Linked DNA regions of Styela clava. The protein of the gene in region 2 purifies or fractionates together with the protein of the main gene of each other region. This does not show direct contact. Links are inferred from orthologs where the notes say so. Each region holds a gene or a part of one and is shown on either strand. Other genes may lie near its edges. The genes, in order: nucleolar and spindle-associated protein 1-B-like, importin subunit beta-1-like, nuclear pore complex protein Nup50-like and regulator of chromosome condensation-like.

Region 1 (7,299 bases), on a different chromosome or scaffold from region 2:
TTGTGCCAGTTTGCTCAGACTTGCATTGTTTTTCTTGTTGGAACCGAGTAATCTTTCTGCTCGCACTTTTTTTCTTCGCTCATAATCATCAATGGATTCCAGTTTATCGAATTTTCTAAAATAGAATTTTAAATTCAAGAATTGATATTAGATTGCGTACAATATATATAAATTCAGATATGACACCTACTTATTGTGTAGTTTATTCCAGTCTTTATTTCCAGGTGTAATAGGCTTGCTTGTTCCGATAGTAACACCTGATGCAGTAAATCTTGGAATTCTACTTGCAAAAGAATCACTGCCACCATATTTACTTTTTTCATCTGGTTAATTGAACAAAAAAACAGAACTTTGTGTCGGTGCGGCATGGAAGTTCTCAAAATAATGGGGATAATATGTTATAAAAAACAGCAAAGAGCCATATAAAATTTTAATGGCCTTTTTCCATAGTAGGCTACTATATGCATATAATATAACACCTTGTTATGCACATGTGGAATGAGTCGAGATGTGAGAGGAAGGCTCATGCATACCTGTTGCATCAATTTTTTTTCTTATTTCATTCATAATTTCATTCTGAAGATCAATGTCGATTGCTTCACTTTTTTCATCTACAGATTCTTGGTCAGTATTTGATCCACTCTTCCTCGGTTTTTTAGCCTTTTGGATTATATATAAAATGGTTTAAAACTAGAATGTACATCAGTCAATAAAAAGAACTATATTCGATAAAATACTCTAACGTCATATTTAGTATTCCACAGGTTTTGAAACAAACGGGGAAACATTGAAATTTCGAATACATTTTTATTGCAAAAATTAGTTCTAATTAAATTTTTTTTAATAAAAAGTGTGTTTATAATTATATCATATGACAAGTCAGCATATCTTATTCCCATCCTATTTTCAAAATAACACATTGATGGGTAATAAATTTAGTAGTAGGTAATGCAAAACCTGATACTTGCTGGTTAACAAATGTAAAACACTTCATAAACAATTGCATGATAGGTCGATGACTGTCAAGTGTCAATACCTTGTTCCAGAAAACGACCTAACCTGTATGGTTTCAACTGCATTTGAAGATCGACGCTTCAAAACTTTAGCTGTTTTCTTGCCAGAAGTGGGAGCAACTTTGTTTGATCGACCGGTTCTTGATTTTGTTTTAACCCTTTCAACGCTGTATGTCTTTGTTGCAAAATCTTTCGATTCATTAGCTATTTTGGGGGTCTAGGACAAAAAGAATACATAAAATATATCTTGGAAGCTCCAAAATCATATTCAGAGAGAGCAAAATATTAGCTGTTATTCTAATTTTATATTGGTTATTTATTACACAAAGTAAACTGAAATTTGAAAAATGAGGTTTGGAATAAAAATGTCCCCTTCCAGGCAATCAAGATCTTTCTTCTCCGATAAATTTCAATCTTAAAAACTTGTAAAAATATGGTAAATTATGCAAAAACAGTCTAAAATTTCAAAAGATAGCTCTAATTTCGACACACCCGTAGTGTGTGTACCAGTTAAGTTACAATAATTTTATTCAGTTTTTCGTTATTTTGGTTCTATTACAAGTTCGGAGACTGTCTGTGTTAGTAAAGTGAATATTGCCCGTGCCCATAGCCTAGCTTCCGTCTCTTTACACAACTTGATGTAAAGTAGGCGAACAAAATTAGTTACCCCCATGTTGGTACACACACTTCTGGAGCGCCCTAATTTCTATAAAAGACTATATGAATATCCCTTGTTTACTGATGAATAGTCATACAGCACAGTTCCTTGCCAAAACATTCGGAATGATCTGAATATTTGATTCGTTTTTGACATCCTTGGAAAAGTTTATTGGATAGTTGGCATTTAAGGGTACAACTGTGATTGAAAAAGAAAATAATACAAACAAGTAATCTCACCCTCTTCCCAGATGAACTTCTTGTTCTTGTTCCAGTTTCAGGAATTGCTTCCAAAGATTTGTCATTCTTGCTATCTTGTTCTGGGGTAGAGTCCTGTGAAGACACATAGACTGTATAGTTGCAGTTGCATTTGATTCGAAAATTAAATATAAAAACCTAGATAACCTAGAAAAATAGAACCAAATTATGATTAATAATTACACAATATCGTGTTTTTCTGATGAAAGAAAAATATAATAAACTGTTCTCACAAAAGACATTAAGTCGCTATTATTCCATGGTGGTTTGACTGAGAACAAATCTTCTGCTTCGTCTAATGGCGGAGTTGGAAACTAAAATAGAAAAATAATAAAATATAACACAACAATACTCATAGGTTATGGTAATACAGTAATGCACTTCATTAAGATATATTAGAGAGATGGAAATATCTTATAAATCTTTATATTTTGCAAATAATCCTGCAGAGAATGCAAGATAAATATCAGTCCCATCCTATTATTAATATAAACACAATTTGATAATGTCATTAAGACCATAAAGGCTAATGCTAAAAAGAAATACATTGAACATGACACGAAAACGAACTCAAATTAACTTTGTCATAATGTTATACCACATTAACTGGTGTTTTTGATTGTGCTACCAGTGAAGTATCAGGTGTTTTTGCATTTTCTTTTTCTGCATCGAATACTGACTGCAACGCTGCAATAATTCCATCAGTCTGCAAAATAAAAAAAAAGTAATTATTGGTATAAAAATATAATCTAAAATTGAAATCACCAATTATCATGAATAAATTTTGATTGTTTTTCATTTTAAGGGCTTATCACAGATACTATAAAATAAATTATCATTTGGATTATGATAACAAGCGATAAGAATAAACAAATTACCTTCAAATTTGCTTTTATTCCATGTTTTTTAGCCAGCTTCTGTAATTCAGCTCTTTTCATTGACTTTAAATCTGAGGACAACATGACTACTGGACTTTGAAGGATGATTGATAAATCGTCCAGAATCCAAAAACGACAGTGTTTAATAAACTCAAAAATATGCCTACAATAAGTAAGCTAAAAACAAGTGAATAAATTTCTTACAGAAACATTATATTGATTCTATTTCTTTTGTATAATAATCCAACTGTGGTTTAAATAAATGAAACACAATAGTGTTTATTCGCTCTCATACATGCAAATTTAAGTTTAGACTTTTTTTATACAGATCCATTTCCTGTAGTATACTCCTGAATAGCCAATGTTGGTAATTTTTTTGCCAAAGCAAAACTTATCATAACCTATTTTGCAAGTTTTTTGAATAAATTGGCGATCAATATCAGACCTCTGTGTTCTGTCGAGTCAAACAATTGTGACATAGGCAAACAAGGTCTTGTACACTAAACTATTCTCTGTTATAATGGGGCCGCAATACACTGACATTTGGTTAAATAACACTCTATTTGTCTCTGAAACGACGGAGTCTGGCGTGACAGCATATGCGTTAGATCGCGCCATGCTTGTCTCAATAATAATTTAAGTCAATCATAGCGTGCATGGCCCATCACACGATAAAATTGGGGTTATTTGCTTAAAACTCTCAAATGCAACAGTAAAATAATTTATCCTTCTGTTCTTCAGTGAATCGGATTATTTTTTCTAAGGAATTCAATGGCAGTACAGCACACTTTCTAAATTCCAAGAATGTCCTGTCATTTGCTTCAATGATAAAATAGACACTCCATGTGTCTCACAAATGATGGGTGTCTGTACAACAGCAGATACGTCATATCGCATCATGTTTGTCTCAATAATGATATAAATTAATTGCAGCAGTCATGTGACCAAAATTGCCGCTTTTTGCTTTAAATTCACGAATGCCACGGTAGAATATTTTTCCGTTTGTGACTTGGATTATTTTTTCCTGAGGAATTCAATGATGATGTTTTTAGATTGCACTTCTTTGTAGTTTTTTGTGCAACTTAAAGAAGAAGTGTTTGTTCATCGCCAAAATGGGATTCTCTGAAATGAGACAATGAGGAGCTGTATGAGGAGCCGTACTAAATGGTGATGTTTTTAGATTGCGCTTCCTTTTAGTTTATTTCTAGTGTCGGTTTGCCGATATGAAGGTCCGTACTGTCTCGTATAGGGGGGTTTGGGGTCTAGTGTAGTTTCGTACCTAAAGTACTTCTAGTGAGCGTATCATAACAATTTTTGCATATGTTAATCCTAACCCCCACCTGATTACGCCATCCAAAAATTATGTCACTACGATGTCACAGTGACATAATAAAATAATATGCTAATGCTACGCCCACTAGAAGTACGTTAGGTATGAAACTACACGAGACCCGGGGTTTCTATTCATTACTAAAATTGATGTCTTTAAATGTGGTGACTATTCTCATGCACTTTGGTTTTTATGTATTTGGAGTTTTGTGTTTAAATGACTCCGCACATTTTTACTTTTGAATGGGCATTACTGCATTAACATACCGTAGTTGTTAATGTTCTTATAATTCATTTTATCCAATATAGTCAAAATTTCCCATTTAAAAGCAAACCCTAACTAGGCTACCTACCTACTGGTACCGGACATGGATTGCAGGATTGGTAATCCTGAAATCGGAGATGAGAGGCCGTCAGGCCGTGTTTCACCATATCATATGATTGAGCCGTGTTATTGCTTTTACTCTATTTTAATATGCAAATCCACCCCTACTGCCCTATACTACAGTATTATTAATATAGTTCTGTAGTTAATATTATTAACCAATCTAACTTACCGGGATCACTACAGCACTAGTCTACGGCTGTACCGTACGCCCGTACGGTCTGACGGTATCAGATGCAAAATGCTGACATTGATAGGATTCAAGTTACATTCCTATTTATCTTTACATTCCATGATAAATCTGTGTTCCAATTGCTCAAGTTATGTAGTAAAATTCGTGTTGCATTTGCAATGCGCGGCGGTGTGGCTCAACGGGCTAAGCGTTAGGAATACGATCGCCACCGCACCTCTAACTACTCTGCGTGGGTTCGCAGGTTCGAATCCCAGACAGAGATGGTTATGTGCGAGAGGATTGCTGGACTCCTCGCCGTCGTTGGGTGGTTCACGTAACCGCTGGTCGGTTACGGCTTCCTCCACCACCAAGTCCATGCTTCCGAAAACAAACAATACAGTAAATCTAATCCCATACCCGACTTGGAATGGTAACCGGACGAGAGGCCGTGGTTCGCCATATGGATAAGCCGTCTTATCGGCTTTCCTCTCCCCCGGGATAAATATGTAAATCCTATCCTATCCTAATGCTGCAATGGCAGAATTAACGGAACCAGCAAAACCTCCCGACCCCCAAAGCCAAATATCAACAAAGCCACAAGCATTCAAAGCACAGCGCGCGGATGAATGATTGGTTAGTGCAATGGTTACGCTCTAATGATCATGAGAATTGTGATATTTTCCGTGCGGTGTTGCTAAAATTAATTCAGATTATATATAAACTGGCTTAAACATTTGAAATCTATGATATCAAAAACGACTGAAGATATTCGAAAAACTCTGCAAAATTTGTATACGGTACCGGTACCGGGTAGTTATAAAATGGCTATGTCCCATATGTCCGCTATGTCCCTACTAAAATGGCTATGTCCCTACTAAAATGGCTATGTCCCATCTAGAATTGCGACTCCGATATTTTCCTACTAAAATGACTATGTCCGCTATGTCCCTACTAAAATGGCTATGTCCCTACTAAAATGGCTATGTCCCATCTAAAATTGCGACTCCGATATTTTCCTACTAAAATGACTATGTCCGCTATGTCCCTACTAAAATGACTATGTCCCTACTAAAATGGCTATGTCCGCTATATCCCTACTAAAATGGCTATGTCCCATCTAAAATTGCGACTCCGATATTTTCCTACTAAAATGACTATGTCCGCTATGTTCCTACTAAAACGGCTATGTCCCTACTAAAATGGCTATGTCCCATCTAAAATTGCGACTCCGATATTTTCCCACTAAAACGGCTATGTCCCTACTAAAATGGCTATGTCCCATCTAAAATTGCGACTCCGATATTTTCCTACTAAAATGACTATGTCCGCTATGTCCTTACTAAAATGGCTATGTCCGCTATATCCCTACTAAAATGGCTATGTCCCATCTAAAATTGCGACTCCGATATTTTCCTACTAAAATGACTATGTCCCTACTAAAATGACTATGTCCGCTATGTCCCTACTAAAATGGCTATGTCCCATCTAAAATTGCGACTCCGATATTTTCCTACTAAAATGACTATGTCCGCTATTTCCCTACTAAAATGGCTATGTCCCATCTAAAATTGCGACTCCGATATTTTCCTACTAAAATGACTATGTCCGCTATGTCCCTACTAAAATGGCTATGTCCCTACTAAAATGGCTATGTCCCATCTAAAATTGCGACTCCGATATTTTCCTACTAAAATGACTATGTCCCTACTAAAATGGCTATGTCCGCTATGTCCCTACTAAAATGGCTATGTCCCATCTAAAATTGCGACTCCGATATTTTCCTACTAAAATGGCTATGTCCCATCTAAAATTGCGACTCCGATATTTTCCTACTAAAATGACTATGTCCCTACTAAAATGACTATGTCCGCTATGTCCCTACTAAAATGGCTATGTCCCATCTAAAATTGCGACTCCGATATTTTTCTAATAAAATGACTATGTCCCTACTAAAATGGCTATGTCTCTACTAAAATGGCTATGTCCCTACTAAAATGGCTATGTCCCATCTGAAACTGCGACTCCGATATTTTCCTACTAAAATGACTATGTCCCTACTAAAATGGCTATGTCCGCTATATCCCTACTAAAATGGCTATGTCCCATCTAAAATTGCGACTCCGATATTTTCTGACTATGTCCGCTATGTTCCTACTAAAATGACTATGTCCGCTATGTTCCTACTAAAACGGCTATGTCCCACTAAAATGGCTATGTCCCATCTAAAATTGCGACTCCAATATTTTCCTACTAAAATGACTATGTCCGTACTAAAATGGCTATGTCCCATCTAAAATTGCGACTCCGATATTTTCCTACTAAAATGGCTATGTCCCTACTAAAATGGCTATTTCCGCTATGTCCCTACTAAAATGGCTATGTCATCTACTACATTTTTAATATAGCCATGCATATCTGAGAAAAAAAGCTAGTATATGTCTTGATGCAATTAAAATAAGTTTATTGCTTAGGCATATTAACGAATTGTGTCAAGGGCCGACTCTATCAAGGTCTACATATTTAATAGTCATTAATGAAAAATTATATTTTTCGAGTCTTTCTCTTCCTTTTTTCTCCCTTTTTCAATCCAGCTGTTTGTGATGGAGA
Region 2 (6,962 bases):
AGCTAAAGAGCTATATGAGGCATGGAGTCGAGTTTGATTTGTTTTTATCAGATTTTGATTTAGTCAGAATTTGAGACATTTCTTGGTGGCGATGGAAATCAAAATTTTTACATAGAAACTCAAAAAAATTGATTTGGCGAAGCGTTCCAAACATTCGTTGTGCGAAGCGTTCCAAACATTCGTTGTGCGAAGCTTGCATACAACACAGTTTATTTTTTGAAATTTGCATTCCCTAAAAGTTTGGAGCTGTAGTTGAAAAAATGACCCACAATAAACTGTAATTTTAATTACGATATACAGATTGAAGAAAAAAAGATTTTTTCTTTTTGAGGAAATTTGCTCAAAGCACGGTTGTCACATGCATTCACTTAGGAACTGAAAGGATTGATTGCTGAGCAAAGTTACAATTGACCACTAGAAAGCGAAGAGCTGCTAAAAATATAAAAATTACATGAAGATGAACAATTAGATTACAATTAGATGAAATTACACGTTAGTATATACAAATTGGTATAAAAATACTCAATTCCACATAAATGTCTTTTCTTTTGTCTGGTATGTGCACTGATTGTAAAGTTATTAACAGCCAACCATGTTTATCGACTGAAAACATTTGAGGGAAAAATTCTGAAAGTTCAGATCATAATAATAATTGTAACACTAATTCAGCATCCTGTTATTAACCACAGCACGACTAATCATAGTATTTTGATTGTAACCTTATATATATTTCAATAAGCATATGTAATATAGACAAGATAGTGTCAGCAACGAGATATCCATGATTCAGATCTATGATGTTGTTTCAAGCAACAGAATAGTACATTTGTCAGTAGTAATAAATAGTCACCAGGAAACAGGACCACCAATATGACATGCAATAGCTTTCTCTGTGAGTCACAAGTTCTTAAACCATACAGTTGCTTACTACTAATTTGCCAACTGGGCATCATGCATTGCATGTCAGTATACAGTGCCATGAAAATATTCATTCACATTACCATATCTGCACAAATGTATCCGATAGCCTCCAGTGCTCCCTCCTTCAAATGTTCAGTGCTTGTTTCTGCAGTCACACTTTGCACAAGTTGAGGAATAAGCTCTTTCCATCCATCTAAAGGTATTTCAGCACATGCGATTGATGCAATTACTTGTGCCGCTGATGAAGGTCTGTTAGTTTCTGTGCCCAATGCTTGAAGAACCTGAGATATTACAATAAATATTAGTATTGTGTCAACTTATCATGAGTGGAAAAGACCTTATTGTGTCAACTTATCATGAGTGGAAAAGACCTTATTGTGTCAACTTATCATGAGTGGAAAAGACCTTATTGTGTCAACTTATCATGAGTGGAAAAGACCTTATTGTGTCAACTTATCATGAGTGGAAAAGACCTTATTGTGTCAACTTATCATGAGTGGAAAAGACCTGGGCCCCTTTTATTAAGAGACCCAACAACCATGTTATTCTATTTTTTTAAAAACATTCTGAAATAGCAATAAATTGATTGAACTCTATTTCATACTGCATACAGAGATCTCACACTATGCTTTCAGCACCTGAAACATTTCACATAAAAACCATCACCTCATTGGAAAATGCTTATGGTAATGTAAAGGTCATACTTACCAGTTTTTTAACTTCTGATCGAGCTGCTTCATTTAGAGACAGCCAACGTTTCTGATTATCGAGCCTGGCAGTTTGGTCTTTTGAAGTTGTATAATTTTTTATCTTGAAAACATAAATGAAGGGTGATACAATTTATGTAAATTAACAAATATCTAATCAAACTTTTTTCAGATTCAAGTTGAGAGCATTCAACTCATCTAAAACATACACTCGATGAAAGTGGATGTCAAATTGTGTAACATGTAACATTATGATGCCATGGATATTTTTGAATTAGCAGAGTAGCAATAGTGTTTAGTGTGACTGTTATATAGCATCAATCAGAAGTAAATTGTAATTCACATTCATGGCTTTGCAGATTTTGGTACATTGACGAAATGAATGTGTGCTTATGAACAGAAAAATGTGCATTCATCAATAACATCTGCGGATTGTACAATTTTGAAAACTTATTATGTGATAAGTGTGCCGCAGTTTTTTGATTTTTTAGTGCGCAGCAATCTAAAAAATATTTGACAATCACCTGCAGACCAGCAGCCATTCTCGAAACTTGGCTGTTTCCAGGGTTTGCCAAAACTTGACATAAGCTGACCAGAAATTCCGCAAGACTGCTTTGTGCGGCTTGTTCCAGAAATCCTTGTGCCTGCTTAATATCATTTGGGTCTGAAAAAGAATATGAATACAATACTTTATGAAAACCTTTATATTCTAAATTTCCCCAGGTTTTTTTTCTAAATTCTGTCACAGGTGTATATATATATAAACTATTACTATTACCAGTAAATATTAAATTTCAGAAATTTGCAAAAAAGGATAGGAATACGATTTTCATATTTGCTGCAATGAAGGATAGGTGGTAATATCGACTAATCATGTGGCGCATCCTGTACAAGTCAGATATGGAAAAAGATAACCTGTTATTTGTTTCAGATGCATGAGCTCGATAGTGGGAAAGCCGTAACTGACCAGTGGTCAAGTGAATTACACTACAGCACTACGGAAGTGAGGAGTCCAGCAATTCTCCCGGCTCCCACGTAAAACTATGAGATTCAAACATTCGAATTCACACAAGTTAATCACAGATGCGATGGAAAGCTTGTTCCTAACACAGTGAATGTTGCGCCAATCATCGAGCCATGATTTCATGAAAACGATTATTCAAAATACAAGCTTAATTAGAGAAATAATATTTATAGCAATAAAGTTACCCGGTGACACAGTCTTATCCAAGATTTCCACAAGAGTCGCCATTTTACTGAGTTTGTAAGCTTATTCTTAAAATTGAAGTTCCAGAGTTGCAAATAAACTAAAAAAAACTATGCCAGCCCTTGAAATTTACAAAATCCTATTATCCTGAAACAAAATTCTTTAGTTTTTAGCTCACAGCAGCAGAAACTCCATAAGCGAAGATTTCAATTTTTTTTGTAGGTGAAAATGCATCTACCTTTTAGTAATACCTAGGTGAGCTATTCTCAAATATATAGAAACTACTGCATAACGGGTACAAAGGCTGCTCATCAACACACAGTAGGGCACAGTTCTCAGATTTCAAGATGCTCCCACATTTGGAACAATAAAAAAAAACACTCTATTTAACTCTGATACGAGGGCATCTGGCACGACGACACGTCAGATCGTTCCATGATTGTCTCGATAATATTTTAAATCAATCTGACCAAAATTGTTCCTTTGCCAAAAACTCTTGAATGCTATGGACTATGGTAACATATTCTTCCTTTGGTAATCATAATTTTGTTTTTCGACAAATCCAATAGCAGAATAGTGACGTTTTTAGATTGCATTTCCTCTTAGTTTATTGCACAGTTGATTTGTGGCAATATAGACACCACGTAAATATATAGATGTCTCATAAAAATGGGATTCGCATTCACTGTTATAATTGATGTGTATTAATGTGAGGCTATGCTCCTGTGCTTAGAATCGGAGAGCTGTGCCATACGGCAGTAAGGTAAGCGCAGATTTGGCCTTAAAAGATTGACAAACAAGCAATATCAAAATACCGGAATATAGAGGCATTTGCGCTACAAAAGAATACATGTTCAACTTTAATTTTTGATAAAAACTTGGTTCTATATCCAGATATGCCTTCAAAAACGCTTCCCAGTGACTTCTTCCATCTTGATGAAAATTCATGAAATTTTAAATCAATTGCCTCATACAGGCAGACAGGCTTAACTTTCAAATAAAACAAAATACAGTAGGGCACACTATACAAATCGGGTGACATTGTCCCGTTTCAGAGAAACCCATTTTACCGATGATCAGACACCCCTACTTTGGGAGACGTCTGGACATTGTTGTCCCTCAATATCAGTAATAATACAGTATAATGAAGTTGCGCAAAAAAATGACAAAAACACAAACTTCAGAACTTAGTTAAACCAGGCTTGGAGCAGAAATAAACAAACAAAATACATGATTGTAATAAACTTTGGGATGTTATACTTTCAAAACACTCAAGGCTTAAGCTAATAATGACCAAGTCAATCCGATACCGGTAATGCCTCATTTCTGTATTTTAAATGTCTGGAAAGGATGAAAATATACAATTTAATTCATTACAAATTCTTGTCTAAACAATTTTGATATCAATCAATCAATTTTATTTTGGTCCCTCTGACATAGGCTAGAACAGTAGAACAAACAACAGCAAACGGAGGGCACATCCAGATCCAGAGATAGCAAAAACATCTGCATTCACCAGTTGGTCTTGCTGCCTTGTGACTCGCAAACGCTAAAACCTGTTCACAAGGCATTGTACGGTATTCTATCACATTACATAAAATAGGCGTACCTCACTCTACTAGGGCCACTCTAAATACAAGATGAATAGCACAATTTCCATGTAAAACTCAACCAGAAAGCATGACCCGGCCACAATACAAGCTTTGGTGGAGGTACTGGTACAGGAAGCCACACATCGCGCCTTATTCGAACATTTCACCACCATAGCATGACGTCATGGAATCAAAATGATTTTCCCCGAGCAGGGTAGCGTACCTAACTCAGATGCGTGATTAGGTCGTATGTGTTTGGTAAATTAGCAATGTGTATGGACGTGTATAGGAGAAAAATGTATTGCAATAAACGGGGCTTTCAAACTGAGAGCCCCGATCCCCCAGTGGGTCGCGGAAGGGCTCGATGTGGGTTGCGGTACCGGTAACAATTAATGTCGGAACCAGCCATAGTTACTTTTCTTCCTTTTTTCTCTATTTATCCTTGTAAAAAATTTACAATAACTTATGTTAAATCAAGATATCGATCAAATTTGAAAGTTTTAGAACCAGTACTGCGATCCACCATCGCGAAAATAGAGCCAATAACGAAATTTAAACCGCCCAAAAGTCTGTCATTCCATCACTAATAAAACTCTTAACCAGTAATTGTCAGTTTGGCGCCAAAGATGGGGAATCATCCATCTTGAAGGATTATTCGACCAGTACCACTTCTCCCTTGGTGCAGAAACAAATGCTACCGTAAATATATACTACAAGATGCTACTGTGGAAAAATTGAACCAAGCGCTCCTAAATATTGAGCATATTAATCGCACTGACCCTCAGTGGTTCTTAAACGATGGTGCGCGTCCCACAAGTAGGGTATAGACAATTTTTTGAGGGACGTGAAGCTAATTAAATATAAAAACATTTGTTAGATTTGATTTTGCCTGCCTTATTCTGAATATTCGCATTTCTTTATTCTGGATATTTACGTTCCATTCATGTAATTTTAACGTGTTTTTGAATAAAACATACTTTCGTCTTACTATCTGTTATTTTCAGCTTATTTTTAGCTAGTTACTTTTGAGGTGGGCGCGAGACTTGACAAATTCTCAAAAAAGAGCGCGTCTTAAAACGTTTGAGAACCACTGCACTAAGTAGCCTTAATTGCCGTAATTTTATGCCAACTAGCCCTGAAAATACGTTCCAAATTGCTTTTGCAAGCCGTTCGCAAATTTCACCAAGCATGCGATCATCTCACCATCAGTTGTTAAAAACAACGGTACGTTATGACGAAATTTCAGGCGATACTGTGGTTTTCCTCCACCAATCAACTAATTTGAATAAATTGATGCAATGAATAAGTTTAATTCACTAAAATTACAAATATTTCAATTGCGTAGTAGGAATGATCTTGGTATAGCAACAGCAAACGTGTTCAGAAAAACTCTCTGGTACAGAAATCTGCTCTCAGCAATTTTCTTCTGTACCGTCATAAATTCTGAACATATTTATTGTTATTATACATACCATTTCTTGTAATTAACACTTTACTCTATAATGAAAAAATAAATAAGAAGTTGTAGAATTATTTAGGAAGAATAATTTAGAATATGACATAGAACAGATTAAGGTTTTTGACCGTTCAGACTGTCGTCAAAAAAGGATTGTTCTCAATTTCGGTAAAAACTAATGAAAATCATAATTTTTGGTTCTCTCGTATCATTTCCACTAAAAAGTTTTAATTAATATGATATTCTCCTAATTTCGAGATAATGCAGATTTACTGTTTAGCCAGTATTTTTTATTTATTTTTTTATATATATAGAATAATTTTTATTAATAAATTATGTACAAAAATAAACACATAGACCATATATATGAAGTGATATAAATTACGCCAACCGATAAACACAAAATAAAATAAGTATTTAAATATTTTGTTTCTTCTATTAACCTATAACATAACGTAGATCAGTTGGTCTAACATTAGTTTCGATCGAACTCTATGAATTTTAATGCCAAGGAATCGACGGGCAAAAAATTTTAGTTTTACATTTCGCACATAACTGTAACTTGCTGCATTTTAACGTATAGGTGTCATCAGTTTTAAGCGTGAAAATTTGGAAAGTTTATATCATGATTCTGGGAGAAAGATGCTTTGGTAGTATATATAGAAGGAAATTACTATTAGGCTACCCCTATTTTCTTTGATTCATTTCTTTAAAAAACTAAGACGGGTCAAAGTTCAACATCGTAACAGAGTCGGTTTGTCGTCAGAAAGGGTTCGGGATCATTATCATATCGACGCACAATCAATCTATAATAAGTGTTTTGAACGATATCACACCACGTTAATGTCTACTCAGATTGTTGCAATATGTTATTCAGAGCTTTTTGCATTTCATCCACTTTAAATCCCAGAGGTCCTTTCGCACTGATATATTCTAAGCAACCGTTGTAGATAATTGCCATACGATCCGGAATCGTACCATATTGCTTCGTTGCCTCATTTTCTATTCCATCCAACACCAAAGGGCACGAAAAGTAGTCTTTAAGATTTTCTGCGGCAGACTGACGATTCTGGAGACTT
Region 3 (6,903 bases), on a different chromosome or scaffold from region 2:
TTGCAGAAATGAGTATATTGATAACTATATATTGCCAATAACTTATCATGAATGCAAAGGTTCATGCTATCATAACATTTCTTTAATGTAACATTGTTTTCTGATTTTTCATTTATTTCTACAGCTGTTTCAAATCAAGTAAACTGTCTGAGTGCCATGATGATGATCAATTTCATCAGCTCTATTGGTAGAGCAAATTTGTGAGTTTGTCACTATTTAAATGTCATATTATTTGTATGTAAACTGTCCTAAATTCACGTTCGTATCAGCTTCTTTAGTATCAGCTGTTAAATGAAAATTATTTTTAGTTTGTGTGTATAATCTGTATTATTCGTATAATGTGAGGATGGTGACCGTACATTTGAACCCATGTACATTTGAACCCATGCGTCTATCCACGGGTTCAATCTATATGCGGGTGCTAAAACCCATGGGTTAGGGTTAGTATGGGTTTAACTATCCGTGAAACAAAAAAAATTCCATAGGTGCAATAGCATACAGGTGCAATTGTCATGGGTTCAAATGTACGTGGGTTCAAATGTAATGGAACCTGTGAGGATACTTTCATCAAGGTAAATTTCTTATTGGTATTGTCCCAGATATGTTCAAGTAACCGAGATGTGACAAACTTTTCAAAATCATTCCCATTAGTCATTTCTTGTTACATGCAGGCAAAACTAGTGTCACATGATTTTAGAGTAGAGCAAAGTTGTTCGACATGCAATCACAATCGAAGACAAAAGAGCCTTCATTTAATATCTGAAAACTAAAAATACTCTACTGTTTTACTTTTCCAAATTCATATAATTAAATATACATTGGATTTTATGTAATTCAAAAATATCATTTCAGAATACAAAAAAATCTGTACAAATTCGAATACAAATTATTCGGTTTTAGTCATTGCCTAGGTCGAATTTGGTTCTTTAATATCTAGCGCACTTCATCAATATACTATCTTTAACCCTGTATTTTCATTTATACTGTTCAGGTCATGAAGACAAACAACTGTTATGGATAGGATTATAGTAAAAGTGTTGTCAAGTCAAGATTGCAGCAGTGCTTTATTTTACGACTTCGTGTCCAACAAATATGTGGAACCCGCCTTTGTGTCCAACAAATATGTGGAACCCGGTTAACTTAAGCTTAACAAACAAATTATTCTTGCATGCTAAAACATTTGAAGCAAAAGTAATTATGTCGATTTTTCGTCACTTGGCGAGTCTTTCGCAGAAGAAATAAATAAAACTTTTAAATAGCAACGAAAGCAACAACTATGATTGCACCTGTGTCTGTGTGCATCTGTCTCAAAGCTGTAGAGCCAGGATAAAATTTAGCACCTCTTCCGAATTGATTCTATACTTTTTCCATTTCTTGAATGTCAGTACATTTTAGCAGTCATTTGAACAAATGAATATTAGTTATTTTTGCAATACAAATTTTCAAAATAATATTATGTTAAATATGTAGAAGCCTGTGGCCCAGAACTTGCCAGGGATAGGTTTTCAGCTGAAGTGTGTTCATTTCGTCTGTTTTCACTCTAAGTAGGATGTGGGTTCTATAATTGAAGTCTGTTTGTTGTTACGCTGAGGTTTAGGAGAAAATGTTAGATTCAATTGGTGTTGTAGACCAGGGTCGTCCAACTCGTGGCCATCGGGCCATATGTAGAAGCATTTCTAGGTGTTTGCAAAAATAGCCTGTCAAGACAGACCATAACTCGTCTTGTTGAAGAGCTTGGGAATTCTATCGCGAGAATTTTAATCGCAAAAGCGGGATATTTTTTATTGTATTCCTTGGCGCTTGAGGAAGCGCTGACATTAAGTTTACTGCTCAGTTGGTGACTTGCTATCTTTTTGCGGGTAGTTAATGATGATATAAAATTACCGTGGAGACCGCAGCCATTGCCCCTGTTAAGGGTTTGACTAGAAGCATTGATTTGTTCGACAGCTGTGATAAAAATGATTAAGCGTCTTGTCTTTGGCTAAACTTTCGGGAATAACCACTGATGATGACCCGTCAATGTTTGGAAAACAACAGTTTTATTGTTCTAATAATTGTGAAAAATCGATGTGAGGGTATTTTTTTATTATTAACCTGTAGTAGTGTAGCAAAACTAGATCATAACTAACATGTCAATTGGCCCGCGCAATTATTAATGAATTACATGTGGCCCTTAGACCAAAATGGTTAGCCGACCCTGTTGTAGTTGTAGACTGTACCAGTAGTGGGAAGAATTCTATTTATGATAAAGTGTTATTATTTCGATATTTCGTGTGATGCGCGTCAGCTCTTCGTAGTTCTACCGCCCAGATTGTTTTGCTTCGGCAATATCAACGAAATACATCAAAAACCGACTTTGCAAAGACAGCAAATTACAACAAAATTGGGTTCGCGTTGTCATCGCCATGGGAATACGGGGTCAAAGAGCAACATGCCACGACGTTTTAATGAAATGCCTCGTGGCGTCGGACTTAAACCACGATTAGTTAAGTAACCGCTAAACTAGGTTTTTGATCACCGGTTAACTATCGAAGTTAAACCGAGTTTAACTAACCCGAGATTAGTCTTAATCCAAGTTTAAGTTAAGTGAGGTTTTTGATCTCCACCCTTAAACTAGGCTATAATAGAGTAAAATGATAAAATTAGTCTACTGAATTATTATGTTATCCTGGTTTAGCATAACTATACAACACAACACCATTTAGTAATTATTCTGTTATTTGCAACACTCACCGATTGTTGACTGCTACCAACAATCCTACGCTTTGCTTTTCGAATAACACGGGTTTGCAAAACATCATTATCCGCTGTCTTGAATGTTCCAGAGTTATCGTCATCATCAACCTCATCTTCCTTGTCCCAATTTTGGTCTGTTAAGTATTTATCAGCGACACGCTTCGACATCGTGGCGCTAGACCTAGTTCACTCATTCACGAATCGCAGAATTGAGCAAGTAACGTGCAAGTGACCAAAATAACCCTGCTGAGGAACGAAATACTGTATCTTCAATAAGGCACATATATGAGGCACATCTGGCTTCTAGTGGAGGCATATGCCACGAGAATATCGAGGCATCTAAAAAAGTTCGAAATCACTATCGGGACAATAAAAGAATAAATTCATTTTATATTTTGTAAGTCTTAGTTTCATATAACGTTAGGCCTATTTGTAAATATTAGAGTAGGATAAAGTAAATATATAGTTTAAATTAAAAGTAACACTACCTGTGAATGCGTGGTTGAGGAATGATTCTTCAAAATTCTTGCCACAAAATAACTTCGGGACGCGTTTATTGTAATAATAAATTTAAATATAAATAGAAAAAAATCGGCATTGATTGAAGAAAATTTGTATTGTGATAAATGAAAAATTTAATTTTTCAACAAAACTATATCTTTGTAATGTTAGCAATAAACTAAAGCCTTCAATTCGTATTTTTACCGACTGTGGTTCTGTGCATTCACATGGCATTCGTTCTGCTTCCAAAGGAGCGTTTTTCAATCCTCGAATAAACTCAAATTTAGCTCAATATTTAATCAGAATCATTGGGCTCAAAATTTGAAATGATATTCCTGACATTTTCAAAACCTTCTCTTATAAAAAATTTAAATCTGAGTTCATGAAACAAATCATATCCAAATATTAATTATGAAGGCAAATCTATTTTCAAATGGATACTGGTGTGGATATGTCATGTATAAGAGTGTATTTATACCTGGTTCTCCCCAGTTTGAAAATATTTGTGCCATGTACATGTCCAACCGTATACTCTTTAATCTACCAATATTTTCATTTTTATCAAAATTTTAAAACCTACATCTCTAAATTGTGTAGAATATCGTATTATAATATACAGTATTGTAAAAATATATTCACAGTTTTCTTCCTTGCCAAACCATGATTAGACATTTCATAATATTGCACGCTTAATTTTTACGCATGGTACCGCTTACATTTACATGGTGGATGTTTTATCTATGACTTCCCTGGTGTGTAACGTTATCTATGACTTAACTGGGATGTGCGTATGATTGCAACCTAACAATTGTACTGCCCAAGTAAACACTAGTTTACTAAATTTTGCTTCAAATTTCAAAACAGATCCGGCCCGTGGAGTAATAATAATCCAGCCCTCGACGCTTCACTGAATTTAAGTAACAAAACGGCTGTTATGACGGTTATATTTTTTACGTAACAGAATTTATTGTGAGACACGTGTAGGCTAAACTAAATTATATTATACCCTAACAAGTATATATTCCACAAAACCTCGTTTAATGAGCTTATAGACGAATGGCAACAAAACGCAAAGTTGATGCTAAGTGCAAAGGGTTCAATGGCGCTGAAAATATTCGAATGAAATTTTTTCGGATGCAATGCAATGATGAAATCAATCTATATTCAATTCGAGAAATGTATTCCTTCTTGATTTCATTTTTTATCGTGAAAAGTATCATTCGTTCGTTTTTTCAACTTTCTGAAAATAGCGAGCGCGCGACAAAAGGTTGCCGACCCCTGCCAGGGTGGTCGCTAGAAAAGCAGGAAATTTGAAGGTCAGATGAGATTACGAATAAAATGCGTGCTAACTCATTACGTATCGATTTTAATAGGTAAGTATGTTGATAGGTATTTGTTTGTCTGTATGTCTGTCTGTTAGATGCACGCGATATCTCACAAAAGCGAGATTGAATCTGCACCAGATTTTGCATGTGCATTCATCATATGTCGTACCAGAAGCCTATTGATTTTGGATGAATTATGTCGTATAATTTGCGAGTTATTAATTAATTAGTGATGGGACGCAAGGCGTCACTATGAAGTAAGAGCGCTGTTTTGGGGGTACCCTAACTTTCGATCGATAAGTCTTCGGTCTCTGACCGATATTCTCGTTTCTTTTTCGATACGTTTTTATTTATTTCAGGTTGATGAATGTTACCCCGAGCATCATTTCTTGTTTATTTCCGTAACAATTACAAATCAGCAATAAGTTTGTTATGTTTGAATAGAAATGATAGATTTGAACATGTGAGCGAGTTTGTGAGCGCCAACTCTCCAAACCACTCGCAAAATCAGAGCTGAATATTTGGCAATAACAACGTGAATATAGGGAGAATCTTCCAGGGGTGAAGGAAACATCCATACTGGTCAGGTTTTATTCGATTTCTATTTTGAAACCCATATTGTGGAGGAAGGCAGGAAAGAGCTTTCAGACTTTGAAAGGAAAGTGGTTATTCTTTTCAATAGTGAAAATCCGACTTTCATACATATTTCGAATGGTCATCGAAAACTTTTAATTCTCGTATTTTATTCTTATTTATTATGTGCTTTCTGGTTTGACGAAAAAATATTGACGAAATTATCTATAAATTAAAAATAAATTCTCTCTCCTCCTTTTCGCAACTATCACACGCAGAAAACACATTATGGAGGGTATTTGTCATCATAAAAACAAGTGTACAGGACAGTGTCACGGCAAATAACATAATACAATATTCCGTCTTTCTGCGATGTTAACACGATATTTGCTACTTTATTGTTGTATGTATGTCAATATTATTGTATGTTATTAGTTTATCCGAAACTTCAATGAACAATTGTTAGCTGCTATAAAGCCCGTCTTATTCAACACTATAAGCATAAGGGATAAGATTAATATTCAATGCCATTCCGGCTTCAATAAAATGATGAAATTGACTCAGGTAAATAATAAGGGCGAACTCTCGAAAAGTATATCAGGTGACGGCACATTTGCACCCATGTAAATTTATTTACTCACGTAAATCGCACCTGTATACTTTTGTACCCACCAAAATTTGCACTCATAGATATTTCCACCTTGAAAATTGGCACATACGCACATCTGATCCCATACTGCATACGGTTCTGTTGCCCGGGGAAAGTTTCTGATAACGATGCCACCTATTCGTATATTATCTGATATGCCTATATCTTCTGCTTTGGCTATTTCATGAGATAGTTGTGGTTTGGAATCGCAAAAATCTTGTCACCTGATCATCACAACGCTAACTTTAACTGGCCAAGCCTCCATGTATAGATTACACGGGTATAGATTACATGTATACAGGAGCAGAAGTAGTAAATGGAAGAATGTTCTAAAAATTGTAACCCGAATACGGTTAAGCACATTAAGTATATTACATGCGTGTCATGTATCGTATATAATATATCGTATCGAAATCGAACATTAAAGCTGGGCCTTTCGTTCTTACTCAGAAGTGAAGCAGACTCATCTCTTTCAGGCGACCACTGAAATGCTAACAGATACTGAAACTTTGATACCGTAGAATTATGGTGATAAAACAAAGTTTTACAGAAACATTTTAGACGGTCCATGAGCTTTACGTGAAACACAAAATAGCAAATCGGAATTAGTCTAGAACTTGCTAAGACAACAGATCGAAGGTAGCCGCATACCAGACTACATGGGAAGGCATGATGTTTTATATAAAAGCAAATATTATATTTCTTTTCCAATCGAGATCAATGGAACTTTACGCACACATGGCAAGTAAAATGCAGTCACCGAATGCTGCCTGAATCACACCAAATGTTTAAGATCTTGGAACATAAGGACTTAAAAAATATATATGTTACAATTCATTGGTATTGAACCAGTCCACAAGTTGTATATTTCATTAATTTTGTATTTTACTTTCAACGTATTTTTCGCTATGGTGGACCAGTCGTACTAAAATTTCCAATGTTAATCCTTCTTATTTTGACAACGAACTTTTAGATTTTAACGCAATCTGGATTAAACACATGTTGGTGTAATTGATGCCTCAATTAGGAGAATTTAAGTTTGTGTCAGGTGAAGAAATTTGGAGATAGTATTGGTAAGTAAGCGATGCGGAAGGGCAAATAGATTTGAAAAAGTTGAAA
Region 4 (7,686 bases), on a different chromosome or scaffold from region 2:
CATTACTATCTTTGTATTAAATCTACAGAAATCAATCAGAAACTATCCTTTAAACCTGAATCTTGCTGTCCAAGGGATTTATAACCATTAGCTCTGCATTCAAGCAAAATATTCAGATTCAGACTGTTCTAATGAACTACCATTCAACTCATATAGTAATTTTCTAAGTCGATATCCAAATCACATTTTATGACAAATCTTTTGTAAAGATAAAACCATCTCAACTGTAAAACCGCATTATACCTGCAAAACTTAATCTTTCACGCAAACTGCTTCTTGGCATGGGTACTTCTGGATTTGCTGTAGTACTAGAAGATGAGACTTCATCTGTAGAATATTATTATTATTCTGTTCTCTCACTTCTCTGTATTATTAAATTTATCTAGAAGTCTGCCATGACCATCAATTTGGAACATTGAACTTGGTAAGTAAATAATCTGCTTTCCTAGCTCTACTTGTAACTTGGACGAGGAACCTCTGTTTGAGTCTGACAGACTTAAGACTAGATTTGGTTTCTTAAACTGGGTGTCCTGACCCCTCCCCTGGTGGGTCACAATAAGGCTTCATAGAGATTGCGGTGGACTAGATGAAAGTTGCTATTACACTAATTCATGAAGAGATTCCGTCATATTTGCTATCTCAATAATGACAGTGAGCATTTTGGTGATGATGATTATATATGGGTGCTTGGGTCTAAGATTGTTAGCAATCAATGACTAATTTATCATATTGTATCACTTCATTCTTACCTGCACTTTTCCTTCCACCTCTACTTAATGCGTATTTACTCAATCTTCCAAGTTGTCCTTGCTCACCACAACCTAATGTAAATACCTGTGAAGTATTGTAATATTAGTTTGAAAACCGGTAATATGTCTCAAAAAAAGTAGCATGCATTTTTTCTAATGAATAAGCACACAAGCAAAGAAATAATATTTTTGCTGTCTATGAAAATTGAATGCCTACATAACGTAACATAACTTCACAGTGCAAGATCAAATTAGGCTGCTTAGGCATTGCCTTACTTAATATTGCCCTACTTAATTCATTACACTTAGGGTTTGAACGAGAGAATGTTAAAGTTAATTGATGTACATTGGCAAATACTCAACTCGTGAAACAAACGAACCCACGATTTCCAGATAAATTGAAAAAATTCAATTTGCTTTCAACAGATTTAGTTCTGAAGATACAAAGGTTCAACTGAATGAATATTAGAGAAAATTTGAAATGACAAACCTTTCCCTCGTCAGTGATCATTGCAACATGGTCACATCCAGAGGCAATTGCTACAACACAATTTTGAATTTGGTCTAATTTGATTGGCTCGCCACACTTTTCCCATTCCTTAGCTAAACCCAGTCTGCCGTGATTATCCTGAAAACAATTGAACAAAAATGAAACATCCTAAATCTTGTAATCACAAGAAATTTATAAACTCGATTGAAAAGATTCGACATGATCATTAATTTTTATGAACAATTGGGGCCCAATTAAATTTGCACCGAACAAAAATTAGCGTCTATGTTTTCAGAGTCCTATATGTTTTCAGAATCCTATAACATAGGCTACCTAATACCTGCTTGTTCTGCAGTTGTCTTTGTTTAAAAATAATAAATTAAAATAATTTTTTATACTTACTCGAAAACAGCCCCATAAAAATACATTTCCATCTTCTGATAAAGCAGCACAGTGACTATCACCAGCAGATATATCAATTACTTTTACTCCTTCTAAACTTCCACCGACAATTTTAGGTTCAAATCCTTCTGAATCGTCAGATGTTAATCTTCCTAATGCCCCCTCATCATTGCAACCGAATGAGTAAACCTACGATTATAAATCCATGGGTGTTAATGTCCAAAATTATATAAATAACATGTGAGTGAGAAACCGACAATATTAAAATAGCAGAGGATAGAATTTTTCATTTAACTCAGGCAAGGTAGATTGCAAGGTAGTTCGAAATAACTGATCAACCATGGTGCAAATAACTTTTAACTGGAGTGTCCAACAACCTTCTTCAGTTTCAAGTCATATTCAGACTTTCAGAGTTACGGTATATATATATGATTTTTAGCTATACCTTATGATCGTCAGTCAAACAAACAGTGTGCATTCCTCCGCCAATAATTTTCTTGATCTTTTTTCCATCAAGTTCTCCTCTCACCAAAGCAGGCTTTTTTCGTTCCATTATATCTTCTCCTAGTCCCAGTTGGCCTGTATCTCCTTGTCCCAATGTTAGAGCTACTCCCACAGAAGCCAATTCAAATAAATTGGGAACTGAAAGTCAAAAGTAGAGTGTCAGACTACAAAATATCGTTTTGTTGCTACAATGTACTTTTGAAAAAAAAGTGGAATGAAAAATATGAGCATTTCTACCAACTTATATTTATTACACATATAAAAATTGGTGATCTAATGGATGCAAAATTCAAAGGACCAGTCATTCACTCATGCCTAAAACTTTTTTGTAACCAATATATTTTATCAAAGTTTTATATAGGCTACAGAGGTGTCGATTCAAATACAGCCAGTATCTCATATCAGCATGTGGTCTATGTTATCTGTGATATATATATAGGAATAAATATTATTACCTTCTATCTTCTTCTGTTTTATTCTTGGTTCCTCAGAAACGGATTTACTGAGTTTACGCTTCCCAGAGTTTGAGCCTTTCTCAACTGCAGAAACTGGTAAAAATTGCAAAAAATTTTAATAAAATATTGTTCCTACTGTACCACCATACAGTCATAATAAACTATGGTGTGATTTTTGAGTACTTTCTCTCAAAAATCTGAAAATTGTTATCTGGTTATAGAATAAAATCTGAAAATAGGTTTTTGCCATAGAAAAAATTCAACTTCAGGACTTGGTTAAAAAATACAAATAGCCTCACTTTTCCTTGGTCTCCCTCGAGATTTCTTTGGTTCTTCAGTTTTACCCACATCTTTAGTTGATAATTTGCGAACCATTTTCTTTTCAAAACAATTACAGTTATAGTCTACCGGTAACAATCTAAAGTTTGATAATATCCCGTTATAAGATAAGCTTAATACTGTCCTGGGCAGCGCAGTACGGTACTTTGTCTTTTAGAACTTTAAAAAACAGTTGGGCTATAGTCTAACTTAGCTACAAGTACCGATTCATTCTCACCAGAATTAGAGTTATTACGGTATGTAGTACCGTAGGTTGTAGGCTACGTACAGACGTATAGGTACCACAGTCGCTACCATAAACAGTCAACTGACCATTAAAAACTGCCTTCATAAGTCAGTGATTAACACCTACCGTAGCTTAACTACGACAGTTTAAAATATTCTGCAAGTCGTATTACTGCATTCTGGTATTGCGAATACTATTGGATTTACTTAGTAAAATGCAATCTGGAGACGGGAATGCTGGAACGGTTTATCAGTATTACGCCAGTCTGGATTTCATGGCCTTTTTGAACGAGAAATCGGGCGTGCAATCAGAAATTCCCGCGTGCAAATAAGAATTCCTGGCGTGCAATTATAGCTCACGACGTGCAAAACAACTGCACTCGCGTGCAACTGACTTTGACATCAGATACCTCTCAATACATCCGCGTAAAATTACCGGTATCGGATAAAAAATACGTTGAATCAGAGAAAAAATGGACGTTTGACCTTTGACCCCAAACATTATTTCTACAGTTTGTCGCTAATTTTGAGAGTGTTTGTGCGACTTTGGATACCGGTACTGTTCAGTACATCCGCGTAAAATTATTGGATAAAAAATACGTTGAACCAGAGCAAAATGGACATACTTTGTCATTAATTTTGGTAGTGTTTTTACGTAGAATTAATGGATAAAAAATACGTCAAATTAGAGCAAAATGGACGTTTGATCTTTGACCCCAAACATTATTTTCATACTTTGTCACTAATTTTGGGAGTGTTTGAGCAACTTTAGATACCGGTACTGTTCAGTACATTCGTGTAAAATTATTGTATGAAAAATACGCTGAATCAGAGCCGTACTTGGCCATTGGTGCGGAGGCGATCTTTTCGTCCATAACTATTCTCACGGGATTCCTATTTCCTATCATTCAACACGATATGGACCTTTCCCCGAGCATCGACTTCCTTGTTTACTTCGTGACATTGGCCAATCAGCAAGATGCAAAAAAGGATGTAACAATGAGAGGAATTTTTCGCGGGTCAAAGGTTGGGGAAAGGTCCATACTCCATGGTCTTTTTGCTTCGCAATATTTCGATCAGACCAAATCTTGCAAGCTGGTATTTGTCGACAATTGTGGAGGTATAATATTTTGGCATCTTTATATTACTGGATTATTGATTTTAAAACCATTTAAACCGATTTACATTGGTGAGCAATTGCAAATTTTCGGCGTGCAAAATTGATTTCGCTCGCGAGCATTTTTGCGGAGCGCTAGCGCCCTCGGGCGTGCACCTGCCATGGAATCCAGTCTGGGTATTACGCACCGGTTCTATTGTTGATTATTGTTTGTTCTCGAGCCTCTTATCTTCAGAAGTGCTATAATTACCACAGGCGCTCAAGCGTCGTCCCGCGAATCACGCAGTGCAGCAGTGGTACATTCCCGCAATTAAAATGCACATCTCATACCGGTACACCGATGTCATTTTGACAGATTTTCAGCAGAAAAAATAAGACTTTACGTCCGGACGTCAGAGAAAAAAAATATTTTGTCACATTTGACTTATGATATGATAAGGCGTAAATATATACTACTACGGATAGGTCATTGAGTTGTATAAATAAGGTATATAAATGAATATTTCTGGAGGCTGAATCTAGCACAAAATAAAACAAGAGAGCTATGCTCAAATATATGGACACGTGACGCCACATAAGGGCAAATTTTGATGGCGTTATAGCACACAAAAAAAACGATAAATAAAAGTAAGCCTTCTAGCTAAAAATATAATCTTTACTCTTTAAAAATTTTAAAGCAATTGGTTTAGTAATAAAGGAGAGAAGCGATTTTTTAAAAAACGATACAAAGATGAAGTCCAACAAGAACAAGATTACCAAAAACATGAAAACGATCCATAGGTCAAGTGCAGTTTCAAGTATTTCGTGGCGTCTAGAAGTGCCGCAAAACCATGGCGAGATCATTGTGGGTATATACACCTCAATGGGCGAGATATCCCAACCATAACCGCTATGACCAAACCCACGGCGACTGACTTTTTATCTGCCACAAACCACTGAGGTGTAATGCCACAAACCAACAGCGAGCTGCCGTCGTAACCATTGAGGTGTATCCAAAGTGACTACACTTTGGGTGTATCACCTCAATGGTCGTAACGGCAGCAAATCGAATGCCGCCAATTTTGCTGCCGTAACCACAGCATGTCGGCTGTAATCATTGAGGTGTCTGTAATAGCAAGGCTGCCCCTGATGGTGATAAATATTGGGTAAGTTGGAACGTTTTTCTTATGGATACAGTTTGGGTGAATTTGGGGTTAGGTTTAGATTTAAGTAGATATAATTTGGCATGATAAACTAAAATATTGTACATGACTTAGTAAATACACCGGTAATAGCGCCACAACACCATGGCAGGAGACAGCGGGGTACGCTCGTGGCAAGAGCTGCCATGAAGTGGTAAGAACTGCGCCTCCATAGGTCACCCACATGTCCAAAAAACAATATTTTTAATATAAGGGATTCATTACGGGTTAAGGAATCGATGTTTTTTTCTGAGCATCGACTCACTCGTCTACTTCTTTATCATTAACTAATCAGCAAAATGTCAATTGTGGCGTGCCAATTCAAATTACCGGCCACACAGAAAAGCTTTTCCCACCCAAACAGGCCTTCGGCGCTGGAGCTTGGGAGTAAACGTTGGATTGCTTTCGTGGTTTTGTTGGTTATTTGTCAATTTTTGATTGCGTTACCTAAATTCAGGTATAGATGTCTTTTTGTCCCCCGACGTAGCCTTGCTACAAATTTTAAAATTTTTAAACCGCATATAAGATACGCTCAGTAGGCCTACATAGACTTACACAATGTACAATAAAACAAAATGGTGATGAGAGACGGGGAAAACAATACTGATTATCTCAGAAGGAGTCACAAAATGAAACAAATATATAAACGAGAATATCGGTCGGAGACCGAAGCCCATCGATCGAATGTTAGGGGATCTCCAAAACAGAAACTGCGGTTTTGCATCATTCGCTCTTACTCCATAGTGACACCGTGTGTCACATCACTAATTAATTGATAATTCGCTAATTATGCAACATAATTCATCCAAAATAGGCTTCTAGTCCGAGATATGATGAATGCACATGCAAAATTTAGAGCAGATTCAACCTCGCTTTCGCGAGATATCGCGTAACATACGAAAGTGTCTAACAGACAAACAGTATAGTTCTGGAACAATGCTTGAATGCTTTACATTGCTTTGGTAATTGTTGACAAACAGCATCATGAAATTATGGGATGGCGATATCAATTTTCGGGAACTATTTCACTTTCTTTATTTTGCTAAGAGGTCGTACAATTCATGGAGAATCGCCCACAAATGTTTATTTAAACAACTAAATTGAAGAAACAAGACATGCATTTAGCACACACACTGCTTAGAGTTTAAAATATTATATTTTATCTATTTTTCAATTTTGTAGAATATTTGCGTAATTTATTGAAAATCAAGAAATGGGTCTCGTATCTTGCATTCACTGGGACAGGTATTGAAGGCATTAGATAAAAATACATGCTGTAATACGAATGCGCCACAGAAAATGGCTTGCTTCACATGCAGGGGCGTGTCAAACTTTTCTGCTACGCGGGGCGAGTTTCTCCCCTTATACCTAACTTCAAAAATAATAAGAGGGATAAACAAATTATAGATACAGTGGTATACATGAGAATGAATCAATCAAAGGTCAAGTAAGAGTTGAATGTTTGTATTATCATTATTTTAATCATCAAACTAAGCAACAACCTCGCCCCATAACGTTCTGGTCACCACCTAGTCACTCCCCTGGTTATATATTACACGCAACTTTAGGAGTTGCTCTTACCCAATCCGCTATTTTAAAGCTTTTTTGATGACAGTTTAAAGTCTTAACTTGCAGAACAGACCAAGTTGTATTCAATACAAAAAGTCGGACTTCTGATTTATACAAAGCATTGGAAAATAGAATGCATTTGTCGCTTGAAAAAAATATTTTCAATCGCTCATGAAATTGGTGTAAATCGTTGTAAAATCTCCTGCGGTTATTTTATTGCAATTCTTGTATGTCGAATGAGACAAGTATTTGCAGTAGGATATGGATTGGATTTTGTACGAAATAAAAGTAATTCTGATTCTACAGGGGAGAAGCACACAGAGGAGAATCCTACAAAATGGCGTACTAGTCTTCGACCCTGTCTCCTTCTTGAAGTTCATGCGTGAAAGCAAAGTATGATCTAGAAAATGAAAATCATGTTGATGATGAATCTTGCTATGCGTTTAATTTTTAAGATTGCAAACAGAGCTTGGCATTTTAAATCGAATAGTGAATTTTTGGAATCGGTCCAGACGAAAATTTTGGATCGCCGCCATGTTTTTTTTTCGTTCACCAAAGATCGAGGTCCGTCTATTTTTTCGTTGAGGCATATTTGTTTTACATACGAGTGATTTATTTATGACACAGGTTTCTTATTCTGTGTGAACACACAACC

What was found.
Region 1: the proteins of importin subunit beta-1-like (region 2) and nucleolar and spindle-associated protein 1-B-like purify together in Homo sapiens (affinity purification with mass spectrometry; 3 studies listed by BioGRID and IntAct, counting the BioPlex papers as one, with this or other methods). This does not show direct contact. The link is inferred for Styela clava from reciprocal best matches to the Homo sapiens genes KPNB1 and NUSAP1.
Region 3: the proteins of importin subunit beta-1-like (region 2) and nuclear pore complex protein Nup50-like purify together in Homo sapiens (affinity purification with mass spectrometry; 4 studies listed by BioGRID and IntAct, counting the BioPlex papers as one, with this or other methods). This does not show direct contact. The link is inferred for Styela clava from reciprocal best matches to the Homo sapiens genes KPNB1 and NUP50.
Region 4: the proteins of importin subunit beta-1-like (region 2) and regulator of chromosome condensation-like purify together in Homo sapiens (affinity purification with mass spectrometry; 3 studies listed by BioGRID and IntAct, counting the BioPlex papers as one, with this or other methods). This does not show direct contact. The link is inferred for Styela clava from reciprocal best matches to the Homo sapiens genes KPNB1 and RCC1.

What each region holds. Positions count from the first base shown.
Region 1 is NC_135251.1:26,346,271-26,353,569, reverse strand, and holds the start of nucleolar and spindle-associated protein 1-B-like, read right to left. Parts: upstream 3,013-7,299; 5' UTR 2,891-3,012; coding exon 2,807-2,890; intron 2,635-2,806; coding exon 2,527-2,634; intron 2,243-2,526; coding exon 2,162-2,242; intron 2,004-2,161; coding exon 1,911-2,003; intron 1,231-1,910; coding exon 1,060-1,230; intron 661-1,059; coding exon 534-660; intron 324-533; coding exon 191-323; intron 116-190; coding exon 1-115. UniProt on the Homo sapiens protein: Microtubule-associated protein with the capacity to bundle and stabilize microtubules. May associate with chromosomes and promote the organization of mitotic spindle microtubules around them.
Region 2 is NC_135250.1:22,448,680-22,455,641, reverse strand, and holds the start of importin subunit beta-1-like, read right to left. Parts: upstream 3,001-6,962; 5' UTR 2,881-3,000; coding exon 2,838-2,880; intron 2,293-2,837; coding exon 2,153-2,292; intron 1,732-2,152; coding exon 1,630-1,731; intron 1,203-1,629; coding exon 1,002-1,202; intron 1-1,001.
Region 3 is NC_135252.1:2,763,362-2,770,264, forward strand, and holds the start of nuclear pore complex protein Nup50-like, read right to left. Parts: upstream 3,007-6,903; 5' UTR 2,905-3,006; coding exon 2,734-2,904; intron 1,452-2,733; exon of another isoform or gene 992-1,451; intron 201-991; exon of another isoform or gene 1-200. UniProt on the Homo sapiens protein: Component of the nuclear pore complex that has a direct role in nuclear protein import. Actively displaces NLSs from importin-alpha, and facilitates disassembly of the importin-alpha:beta-cargo complex and importin recycling.
Region 4 is NC_135257.1:1,501,839-1,509,524, reverse strand, and holds the start of regulator of chromosome condensation-like, read right to left. Parts: upstream 3,019-7,686; 5' UTR 2,976-3,018; coding exon 2,900-2,975; intron 2,694-2,899; coding exon 2,601-2,693; intron 2,284-2,600; coding exon 2,087-2,283; intron 1,831-2,086; coding exon 1,642-1,830; intron 1,378-1,641; coding exon 1,240-1,377; intron 835-1,239; coding exon 750-834; intron 1-749. UniProt on the Homo sapiens protein: Guanine-nucleotide releasing factor that promotes the exchange of Ran-bound GDP by GTP, and thereby plays an important role in RAN-mediated functions in nuclear import and mitosis.